Sus scrofa: one gene and its partners. The protein of the gene in region 2 interacts with the protein of the main gene of each other region in a pairwise test. Links are inferred from orthologs where the notes say so. Each region holds a gene or a part of one and is shown on either strand. Other genes may lie near its edges. The genes, in order: PRTFDC1, FLAD1 and REL.

Region 1 (3,749 bases), on a different chromosome or scaffold from region 2:
CTGGGGGCTTTCCAGGTTTCTACCCTTAACTATGGTTTTACTTCCTTGCTCCACCCCATGTTCACTGGGCATCGCTCTCTAATGCCAAGCATCAGATATTTTTCTATTTATTGACAATTTCCAAATCTATCCAATCGCCCTCCTGAATTTCAAATAGGAATTTCAAATTGCCTCCTGTGCATCCTGACCGTAGGCTTTACAGGCACTATAGGCTCAGCTTCTCTTAAATTGAACTTAATTTTCCCATTTTATATTTTCATCCCCCTCCAACTCACCCCATCCCTAGGTCTAACCATCCTCTCCATGGCACCTGGAGTGACTTTAAAAAAAAAAAAAAGCATAAACTGGATGCCATGATTTCTTAGAATGTGAAGATTTCTTTGCACTTGATAGGCATTGCTTGGACAACCCTTCTTCAGAGTCTGTACATGGCTACCTACTGCTTAGCTAGCATCTCTTGTCATCCAGAGAGGCCACTCCCACCGTCTGAGCTAAAGCAGCATCCCCGGCCCTCCTGCGATCACACTTCATCTCATGATCTCTTTTCTTTTCATTGCACACATCACCATCCGAAAGCATCTTCTTTATTTATTTGCTTTCACACTGCTTGTCTGCCTTCCCCTCTAAAATGTAAGCTTCAGGAACACAAGGCTATGTCTTGTTTCCCCTGAGCCTAGAACACTACCTGTACCCCAGCAGGACAGTCAACATTAGTGGGATGCTTATATAAATGAATGCCTTCTCCTTTAGGAGGGTAAGGTCCGGCTATGAAATTAATACTGGGCAACATAGTACAACCTGAACAGGGCGGTTAGAGTGAGGGCTTTCCAAATCCAAACTTCCTACTCTTCTAGTCCTGTCCCAGCCACAGATTATCTGTTCATCACAGGCTGATCTCAAAACAAAGACTCTTCACGTAGCAAGTTAGCCCCACCCACCACTCCTCACCGCCGGTTCACTTTAAACCTGACACATTAAAACCACCACCTTCCACTGAAACCATTCTCTTCCGAGCAGAAGCCGGCGGGCCACAGGGCAAGCCGTGACTGGAATCAGGACACTGAGAGATGGCTGCCCACCGGGTGATGAGTGACTACGAGCAGTTCCCAGGGATAAAGAGCCTCTGGTCTGGGACCCCAGCATCCTACATCCTCTCACCCGCCACACTTTTAGACACCCTACAATCATCCTCTCCAGCTGGCCCCACAGGCCCAGCGTGCTGTGCTTTCCTTTTGCAGAAACTGGCGCTTGCTCCAGGGGCGCTAGCGTGTCCCGACCGAGCTCGAGCTCGTGCAGAGGACCCACAGAAAGGAGTCTGAGCCCAGGTTTCAAAGCTCAAACTCCGTCCACTAGAGCTACTTTATTTCCTAGCTGCCCTAGAGAATCCTCAGTATCCTTTCTGGAAACAAAACGTGAAGCCTACACTGGAAGAGTCAGGGGGGAGTACAATAGGAGGAGTCCCACAAGAGCGGCCCGCGGGGGTCTTCACAGACCTGCCCGGCCCCCAGAGGTGATTCCTGTGGCCAGCAGGAGGGGGACCCGGCACCACACAGGCTTAATGCTGGCGGATTCCTGGCGGAGGCGGAGAGAACACTGACAACACGGGGTGAAGGGATGTTAAATGTGGGGTCAGATTGGGCTCGGGGGTGGGGGTGGGGGTGGGTTGGAGGATGGAAGCGATCCCGCCGGAGGGAAGAACAAAGCCGTGGCCGCCCTCTCCCGAATGCATTTCTGGCGTTTAATCGAAAAGGCGGGGGGAGGGGGGTGCCAGGAAGGGAGGGGAGGGGAAGGCGCGGGGAGCGCGCGACTCGGCCCGAAATCGGAGTTTGCATTTACCACCACGCCTCGCCCGTAGTCTGGCGCCTCCTCACTGCTCCCGGCCATGTTTCTCCGGGGAAAGCGGGAAGGAAAGAAGGCGCGGGAAGAAGCCTGGAGGGTGACGGGCCGGGAGGGGGAGGGGTGGGATGTGGCCGCCCCGCCCCGCCTCGGTACCGCGGGCGGGAAAGCCACGGCGCGCGGACGACCCCACGCCTGGCGCGGCTCCAGCGCCTCGGCCGGCGCCGCCAACTCGGGCCGGTTCTCGAACGCGGGGCGGGGATGCGGGGCCCGGGGCGGGGGCGCAGCTGCCGAGCGGCGCGCGCTCCACCTGAGCGCTGGCCCCGGCGCCCGCGCGTCTCCCCTGCGGCCACCGCCCGCCTGCGTGCTCCGCATCCCGCCTTCTGTCCCGCGCCCCGCGGGGACTCGGGAGACCCAGGCTGCCCGCGGCTGGGCTTTTACAGAAACAGAAACGGCGCCCAGGTCCCCTGCCTCCCTAAGTCTGTCGTCCCAGCTTTCAGGCTAACGAGGTCCTTGAATCCTTCCTGCTGACTTGTAGGCGCTCTTTATCCCAAGTCCATCCACGAAAGAGTCTGCGGTATGGGATATTCTCCAAGTACGGCTGTGGGCGAAACTAGGATGTGTTCTTTAAGTCCTCGAACTGCCCAGCCAGGGGTTTGAAAGAGCCGTGCGGTGGCCCATCCCTGAACCACGCCCGCGGTTACAGGATTAGGACTTGGAAATAGGGGCTTTCCTTTACCGCTTTCAGGGCGAAAAAAAGATTTTTTACTCATTATCTACTTTACCACTTTTGTAAGAACAAACGGTCAAATTTTGATTTTCTCAGGCTGCAGTTTAGAGCTGCCGATTAAAAAGCCTCCCTTGAATCTTTTGTTAATTCAACCCTGATCCCAGCCTTCCCCCGACTGAGGGTCCCGGTTCTTTGTCCATTCCTCAAGGGCCCTACTTTCCCTTTATATGTATTCATCGCCTGGTTTCTGCAAGCTCGCCTCATCCTTTGCAGCTCTGCTCTGGTGGGAAGCCCCGAGCTGAGGGCGGGTCTCCGACTCGGACCTCTATTTTGTTCATCTGTGGGTTCTGGCACAAGGCAGGGAGTGGAATGCTGATTTGCTTGATTCCAGGGGGAAATGGTTATCAATCAGTTAATGTCGCCCTGGGTTGCAAAAACCAGACGTGGCTGTGCTCAGCCCTGTTTGTCGTTACCCTGTCGGAAGTGACAGCACGGGAAAGGCGGGCAGCTCCTTGGATCGCTGAAACTAGGCGCTGTGCTTGCAGATTGGCTCCCATAAACCGAGTGAAAGTGTTTCTTGCACAGGTAAACGTTTTCTCTCAGTAACTGTCAGATGTCCTTGTCTGGGGCAATTTCTATAGTCTCACTCATCTCTTTTCTCACAGGTGAGGGGCCATCTGCTATTTTCATTGCTAAAGACTGAGCCCAGGAAGCATCTTCACAACCTGAGTTCCAGGAACTGAAAACTGATGATCAAACTTTAGGGTTCAGAAGACTCTTGGGTAGCCAGCCACTTCCCTACTCCGCACATTCTGGTGGAGAAGCTGTGTGTTCAGACTCAGAAGTCTGTGCTGCTAAGGCACCCAAGAGAATGAGGCAGAGGTTGCCAACCATGCCTTAAAGATGCAAATTCACATTTACCCATAAGAGCTCAGAGTGTACACTGGGTCTTAAGGAACACAAAAGTTACAAATGTCAAAGTTACAGGTGTAGTTGCTCTATAGAAGTCAAAAAGCAACAACGGTGGGAACTGTGGGAAATGATAGATACATCTTCTTTCCTTAGACTGTTAATATAATGTAAAACCAATAGGTTCACAATGAATAAAAACGCACTTACTTGAATGACAACAGGAACCTTATGAATGCACAGTCAAGAACATCCTATAGAGATCCATATAGGG
Region 2 (3,710 bases):
TTTGGAACAGTCCCTTGAGCCCCTCCAGCACCCGCCGCAGCAGCTCCGGAATTCCGGGGAAGAGGTAGACGTTTCGGACAGAGACCAGTGGGAACCTGAAGGGACGGCCTGTGCGAGGGTCTGTGCCATAATGCAGGCGGGCAGAGGAGGGCACCCGCGACAGCTTCTCCCAGCCTTCCCCTCCTAGGCCTCGGATGGCCGCTTCCAGCTCAGGGTGGGGCTTGAGCTCGTCCCCAAAGGCCTGTGCTACTGCCTCAAAGGTCACATCATCATGGGTGGGGCCGATGCCCCCTGCTGTGAGGACGTGGGTGAAGCGGCTGGAGAAAGACGTGACCTCAGCTGCAATGGTGGCTACCTCGTCGGGCACAACGGAGACTCGGCACACCTGGACCCCCAGGGAGCGCAGCGTCCGGCACAGAAAGTAGGTGTTGGTGTCCTGAGTGTGTCCCTGGGAGATGGGGGGTGGGGAAGACGAGTGTGTCAGTGCTGTGGGGATGAAGGGCAGAGGGGGAAGGAAGGAGGCTGCATGTGCCTGGGGGTGGGGCCCTCTGCTCTTGGGGGGACACCAGCCCTGACTGGGCACAAGAGTGGCAAGATCCATGTGGAGTCAGGGATGATGTGAACCACCTTGGGCTTCCATCTCTGTCCTTTGACCTTGACCTCATCTATGCTTCTGGATTCAATCATCAATCGTACATGGACAGCTCTTCCACTTCCTCAGCAACTCTGACAGTTTCGGTCTCCTGGTTCCAAGTGCTTCCTGGGCATCCTTCCCCCAACCCAGGCTGTTGTCACCTTGGTCAATGGCATCCCCAGATACTGTCCACAGCCAGTCAGCCCCTTCATGCTGTCAACTCTACTTCTGAAATGTGTCTCTCCATCTGCTCTCTTCTCTTGTCCCTCCTGCCACCAAACAGGTCCTTGGCACCTTTCACCTGGACAGTGGCGACAGACCCCTGGCCAGGCTCCCGGCCTCCAGCCACAGCGCCCTGCCCCATGCGTCCCGAATAACCTTCCTAACGTGTCACTGTGATTGCATCACTCTTGGCTCAAAAGCCATTTGTTGTTTCCAACCCTGTACAGAATAAAGTTCAAATACCTCTGCAGAATATTCGAGGCCGCCTGTCTATGGTGTGTATGCACTCTTCCTTTCCAGCTCCATCTCCTTCTACTTCTCCACAGAGTTTAGCGGTTAAGGGTGACTCTGGAGTGAGAATCGGGTTGGAATCCCATCTACCACTTTTTAGCTGCTGTTCCACATGGGTGAGTCTCTCAACTCTGAGCCTTATTCTCATAATCTATTCATTGATATTGACAGTAAAAATACCCACGTCATGGGGTTGTTGTGAGGATCAGTAAAACCACACAGGCCATGTAATAAGCACGCTGCCAGGCCCTAGTAAGCACGTAATAGTACTACTGTGAACCTGATGCTCACCGTGACCTCTCATGAGACTTCCTTGATCATTCAGAAGGGATTTCTCCCTTCTGGTACTTTCCTTCCATCCCACTTAGCTACTCTGCTGAATGCCTCGGATCATTTTCCAGTTAGGCTGGCTATAACTCTGAAATAATACCTCCTGTATACATGGGACTCCTTGTCATTTTTTTTTTTCCCACCACCCCACTGCATATGGAGTTCTCAGGCCAGGGATCAGATCTGAGCAGCAGTTGTGACCTATGGTCCAGCTGCGGCACTTCTGGATCCTTAACCCACTGTATCCCACTATGCCAGCCAGGACTGGAACCTGTGGCCCAGCGCTCCAGAGAAGCAGCCGCCTATCCCCGTTGTGCCACACCCGGAATTCCTCCTCATCATTGCTGTTAAAGCCTCTCCTCCCCTCCCACACAGCATGGCTAATTATAGGGACTTTGCTACAAGTTTTTCAGCAGAGTAATTGAATAAATGAAGGTCACTCTTCCTGCAATATACTGGACTCACTCCAGGACCCTACGGTAGCAAGGGGGGCTCCCACCCTGGTTCACCCTCCCTTAACAGAACGTGTTAGGAGAACGCTGCACCCTCCCCCCTCTTCTGTCCCAGACACACCTTGAGGATCTCATCTCCAACAATGATGATGCCCGCCGTCACGCTGCGCCCTGGGGGAGGTTCAGAGGCCCTAGATGCCATGGTCCTGCCTTCTCTGCCCCTCCGCAAGGCCCTCCAGTAGCCACCCAGACCCCAAAATAGGGGTCGCAAGCACTGGGGGCCCGCCAGATCTACAGGGCACTGGGGGTCATAGCCTGGGAACAGGGGTTCCGGGGTCGAGGGAACCTGGAGGAGCCAGAAAGGACAATAGGGGAGAGCAGGAGTGCACCGTCTTCCTCATTAGGCCCTTGACAATCGACTCCTTTACACCGGCCCCTTTAATAAACCTGCTCTCAAACCCTAGCCCATACCTCTTTTTATGTTTTCTAGGCTCGGTTCTAGTCTCCTGAAAATGTTCCCTCCAGAACATCTACCACTTTAAATGTCTTCTGCCCGCCGAACTCGGCTCCTCTAGGGTCCGCTCTACCTTGCGCATCTGCGCCTTTAAATAAATGTCTCTTCTCTTTACCGCACCTGTTCCTTTAAATGTCTACCTTAGCCTGGGCCTTGGCCCCTTTAAATGCGTTCCCTCCCTCCACCCCCAACCAGAACTCAGCCCCTTCTTCTGCAGCCTTCCGCACCCTTTCCAGCCCGGAATACTGTCTCTTCCCGCCACGCTTCAGACTACTGAGCTTTTCCAGGTTCTCACCTGCCTCTTGCCCTTTCACCGGGTCTTTCCCTCTCTCCTCCTGTTTCGGGGCAGCTTCCGTACTCAGAGTCCCGCCTTAGACTCATACCTACCTCGTATTAATTGGTCATTTTGGCTGTCGCTCAGACTACTTCTAAGGGCCCATTGGTGTAGTCGATCATCGCTCGAGAGCTGTAGCCAGTGGGCGGGAGTAGTGCTGGGTTGTTATTGGTGACAACCACGTGGTCACCCCTTACCCGGAAACGTGGGGGCTGGCCTTCAGTCGGGGGCGGGGCTTCTTTTCCCTCGGGGCGGGATTTGGGGCGTCTCTGGAGTGAAAGGAGCGATGAGGGGTGCAGGTGCTTTAAGGGCTTTGGGGTTTCCTGTCTGGTGGTGGAAGTAAAGGGAGGCTTGACTCTAATCTCCTTTCTGTGTTCATATTTCTTTTTTTTTTTTGGGCCTGTCTTTTTAGGGCCGCACCTGCGGCATATGGAGGTTCCTAGGCTGGGGGTCCGACTGGAGCTGTAGACGCCGGCTTACGCCACAGCAACGCCAGATCCGAGCCGCGTCTGCAACCTATACCACAGCTCGCGGCAACGCCAGATCCTTAACCCACTGAGCGAGGACAGGGACCAAGCCCGCGCCCTCATGGATGCTAGTCGGGTTCGTTAACTGCTGAGCCACGACGGGAACTCCTGTATTCAGATTCTTGTATGCATATCTGTTATTCATTAACAGATGACTCATTCTAAGGGGTCAGGGGCTAATATCAGAGGGGATTTTATATTGTAGCAGATGGAAGTTGCACGGACACCAAAAAAATTGGCAGCATTGCCTGTGAGGTAGCAAGATCCTGGAGGTGAGCTTTTAGTGTATGGAACTTTCATTTGTCCCTGTTATAAACAATAAAGCTAATTACTTAAACCTCTTCGACAAGAAAAAGTCTTGCCCCACCTTGTTCCAGATGGTTCTTTAAACATAACCTCTCCCAGT
Region 3 (3,649 bases), on a different chromosome or scaffold from region 2:
GATCCGGCGTTGCCGTGAGCTGTGGTGTAGGTTGTAGATGTGGCTCAGACCCTTTGTTGCTGTGGCTGTGGTGTAAGGCCAGCGACTATAGCTCCAATTCGACCCCTAGTCTGGGAACCTCCATATGCTGCAGGTGCAGCCTTAAAAAGACTAAAATAAATAAATAAATAAAAAAGAGTATCTTTAATAAATTGCTCAGACTAAGAAAGAAAACTGCAGCATAAAATAAGTTTATGTTTGCTTTTAGTAACAATAAAGAAGTATACCTGCTACCATCATGGGCCACATCTACTAAAAAAGGAGGAAAGGGTAGTTCTTATAAATGATAAGAAAATTTAAATGTATACTATAGTAAATAGAAGGACAATGAGGAATCAGTTTATTCCGCTAGAAAATAACAGATGTACATGGGTAGGAAACAAGAGCATCCTATGTTTATCCTATTCCTGAAAATGTTTGTGACTGTGTACTTACCACAAAGGTCTGCGTTCTTGTCCAAATTCTGCTTCATAGTAGCCATCTCTGCAGTCTTTTCCTACTAAATCATGAGGATGTGGTTTATATGGGTCATTCTTTGTTACTAATGTAATTCTCACTTTTCCTTTTCCAAAATAGTTCTTAATCTGAAAAGGAGGGAAATCAGATATATGATCCATACATACATCTCATTAAGAACTGATCTACTAAATGAGGGTTCAATTTATATACATTAGTTAGCATTGGATAAATAAAAGTCCAAATGATTATCAAGTGCAGTTTGGAAGAAACTTTGCAGAGAATACCAGTAGAGAAGAATTTACCACTCAGTTTCTTGGCATATTATTCTGTGTCCTAATTTTAATCGGTCATATCACCTCATTCTGCTTATTTTCCTTCTTTTGGGGGAGGGGTCTTTTTTAGGCCTGCATCCATGGCACATGAAGTTCCCAGGCTAGGGGGTCACATCATAGCCATGGCCGCTGGCCTACACCATAGCCACAGCAATGCCAGTCTGAGTCGTGTCTGCGACCTACACCACAGCTCAGGGCAATGCCGGATCCTCAACCCACTGAGCGAGGCCAGGGATTGAACCCGCAACCTCATGGTTCCTAGTCAGATTCGTTTCTGCTGCGTCACAACAGGAACTCCACTAGTCAGGTTCTTTATCTGCTGAGCCGCAATAGGAACTCCCTTATTTTCCTTTTATTTTTTTAAATTAATTATTTATTTATTTATTTTGTCTTTTTGCTATTTTTCGGGCCACTCCCGCGGCATATGGAGGTTCCGAGGCTAGGGGTCTCATCGAAGCTGTAGCCGCCGGCCTATGCCAGAGCCACAGCAATGCGGGATCTGAGCTGTGTCTGCAACCTACACCACAGCTCACGGCAACGCCGGATCGTTAACCCACTGAGCAAGGGTAGGGATCGAACCCACAACCTCATGGTTCCTAGTCGGATTCATTAACCACTGCGCCACGACGGGAACTCCATTTTCCTTTTAAAACAAGTAAAATTATACCAAAATATTATCATGGAGCATGAGGAAATACTAAGATGTTGAGTCACTGAATGCAATGCTCTTATATTCACTGTCATACCATAAACATCCCTTGAATGTATATATTTAAGCCACAATGGAACACATTTAAGCCACCATTATGGTCAAGTATGGTTGTTACTTAATACATGACATTTCATTTCACAAAAATATCTTTTTTTTTTTTTAAATCAGAAAGTGTATCCCAAGTATTCACTGTACCATAGGCAACAAATTAGGCTGTTTTGCAAAATTAAGTTTTCACATAGTAAGTAGATCTATGACACTGAGAATGAAGAGTTAAACATGGGAGAGGAAGGAGGACTCTACACAATGTAGGGAGGAGTTTATCTTTATTCTGGAAGATGGAAAATTTGCAAGCACAAAGCAAGGAATATAAAAACCAGCAAACAAGGGAGCGAGGCAGCTGGGTAAGAATGGGTGGCTTCATAGATAAGTGGGCATTAAAATCTATAATTCTGAATTTAAACCTAATTTGAACAGTAATCAGAAAGTATTTATTGCCTTTCTGAATAAAAGACAAGGTAACGACTTAAAAGTGTAAGGTAGGCTCAAGTGGAACTCAAGCTGCAAAGTTGTTTAGAAACTACTGGAATGGTAAGGATAAAGATCTTAGAAATGGTTAAGAGAATGTACAGAATAAGCTGAATTATGGAGAAGAGTTAAAAATCACTCTTAAAGGAGTAGAAGATTAGCTTTTTTTTTTTTTTTTTTCCTAGAGCCACACATGAGGCATATGGAAGTTTCCAGGCTAGGGGTCTAATGAAATGTAGTATATAAACATAAAATATAAATGTAGTATTTCTATAAATATAGTACATTAACAAAGTCATTTTGGATCAAAAACTACTTTCAAAATTTATGTTAATATGAAAAAACTATATTTAAAAAGTGACAATATTTCAAATCAGTCAATGCAATCCAAAGTATCAGGGATAGGCAATAAACGTAAAGAGGAAAAAAGGCAAAAATGCTCTTTTTTCCATAGCCCCTAGATTAGCCAAGTGATTGCAGGAAGAATTCCGAATTTCCAAATACAGGTTTTTAATCTCCAGAACAATCTTGCTCACCACTGGAAGGAAAGAATGCTTTTTCCTCATTAGCTTTTTGTTCCATTAAAGGTGTTGTCATCCAAAAGTTGCCGATGTACTCTAAGCACTGGGAATCACTCTACACAGATTAACACTCAATATATAACAATCTGCAGGGATGAAGACTCTATACTTTATTTAAGAAATGTGCCTAGAGATCTATGCAGTATGGATCAATTACAAAGAAAAAAAGGAGGAAAAGCTGGTGACGATCACTGTGATGAAGCTGGGTCTTTAATGTAACTGCTGTAGTGAAAACATGATGCAGCTGACACACACACACACACACACACACACACACACACACACGCAGAGGAGAACGATCTGTTACCTGGATAGACGGGTATGTTCGGCTGCTGTCTGTGCTGTGCTCCCCTGGAATGCTGCCTGCTGATCGCCCTTCACATTTGTATCTAAAACGCATTCCCCTCTGTCTGGGTTGTTCCGTAATCTCTATATATGGGTTATACCCACCTAAAAATTTTAAAAGGGAGGAGGGTGAGATTATGATAGAATTAATAATGGATCTTTAACCATCTTGTTTTTTCCAAAAGAGTAGGCTAAAAATTTTCCCCTCTCAATATTAAATGACAAAGTTGAAATGTAATTATTCAAGACTGGGTGGATAATTTATTTGATTTTCTCTCTCATTCGAGTTCCCATACAGTGTAAACACAAGCCATTCAAATCATATTTACTGCTGAGCACTTTATCGTTTAATATCTCTAACTAATGCCAGTGTGAAGTTCTGCGATAACCACTTCAAATATCCACTTCTCACCTGAGACCAAGCAGAAGGGTTTTCCCCAGAATTTTCCCAGAAGGGTCAAGAAGACAGTCTTCAGAAGTGCAATATTATACTCCAAAAAAGACTTTGCCTGACTTTACATTAGATTTATCTTAACAGTGGACTAAAAGACTGTTCATTGAAAATGAAAATGTGGAGTTCCCATCGTGGCGCAGTGGAAACGAATCCGACTAGGAACCATGAGGGTGCGGGTTCGACCCCTGGCCTTGCTCAG

The links.
Region 1: the proteins of FLAD1 (region 2) and PRTFDC1 interact in binary tests that used the Homo sapiens proteins (3 or more experiments, as listed by UniProt). The two-hybrid records come from large-scale screens. The link is inferred for Sus scrofa from reciprocal best matches to the Homo sapiens genes FLAD1 and PRTFDC1.
Region 3: the proteins of FLAD1 (region 2) and REL interact in binary tests that used the Homo sapiens proteins (3 or more experiments, as listed by UniProt). The two-hybrid records come from large-scale screens. The link is inferred for Sus scrofa from reciprocal best matches to the Homo sapiens genes FLAD1 and REL.

The regions. Positions count from the first base shown.
Region 1 is NC_010452.4:50,364,248-50,367,996, reverse strand, and holds the start of PRTFDC1 (phosphoribosyltransferase domain-containing protein 1), read right to left. Parts: upstream 2,344-3,749; 5' UTR 2,212-2,343; coding exon 1,837-2,211; intron 1-1,836. UniProt on the Homo sapiens protein: Has low, barely detectable phosphoribosyltransferase activity (in vitro). Binds GMP, IMP and alpha-D-5-phosphoribosyl 1-pyrophosphate (PRPP). Is not expected to contribute to purine metabolism or GMP salvage.
Region 2 is NC_010446.5:94,810,605-94,814,314, forward strand, and holds the start of FLAD1 (FAD synthase), read right to left. Parts: upstream 2,817-3,710; 5' UTR 2,739-2,816; exon of another isoform or gene 2,671-2,738; intron 2,276-2,670; 5' UTR 2,132-2,275; coding exon of another isoform or gene 2,051-2,131; 5' UTR 602-2,050; coding exon 1-601. UniProt on the Homo sapiens protein: Catalyzes the adenylation of flavin mononucleotide (FMN) to form flavin adenine dinucleotide (FAD) coenzyme.
Region 3 is NC_010445.4:80,898,690-80,902,338, forward strand, and holds part of REL (proto-oncogene c-Rel), read right to left. Parts: intron 3,102-3,649; coding exon 2,959-3,101; intron 624-2,958; coding exon 475-623; intron 1-474. UniProt on the Homo sapiens protein: Proto-oncogene that may play a role in differentiation and lymphopoiesis.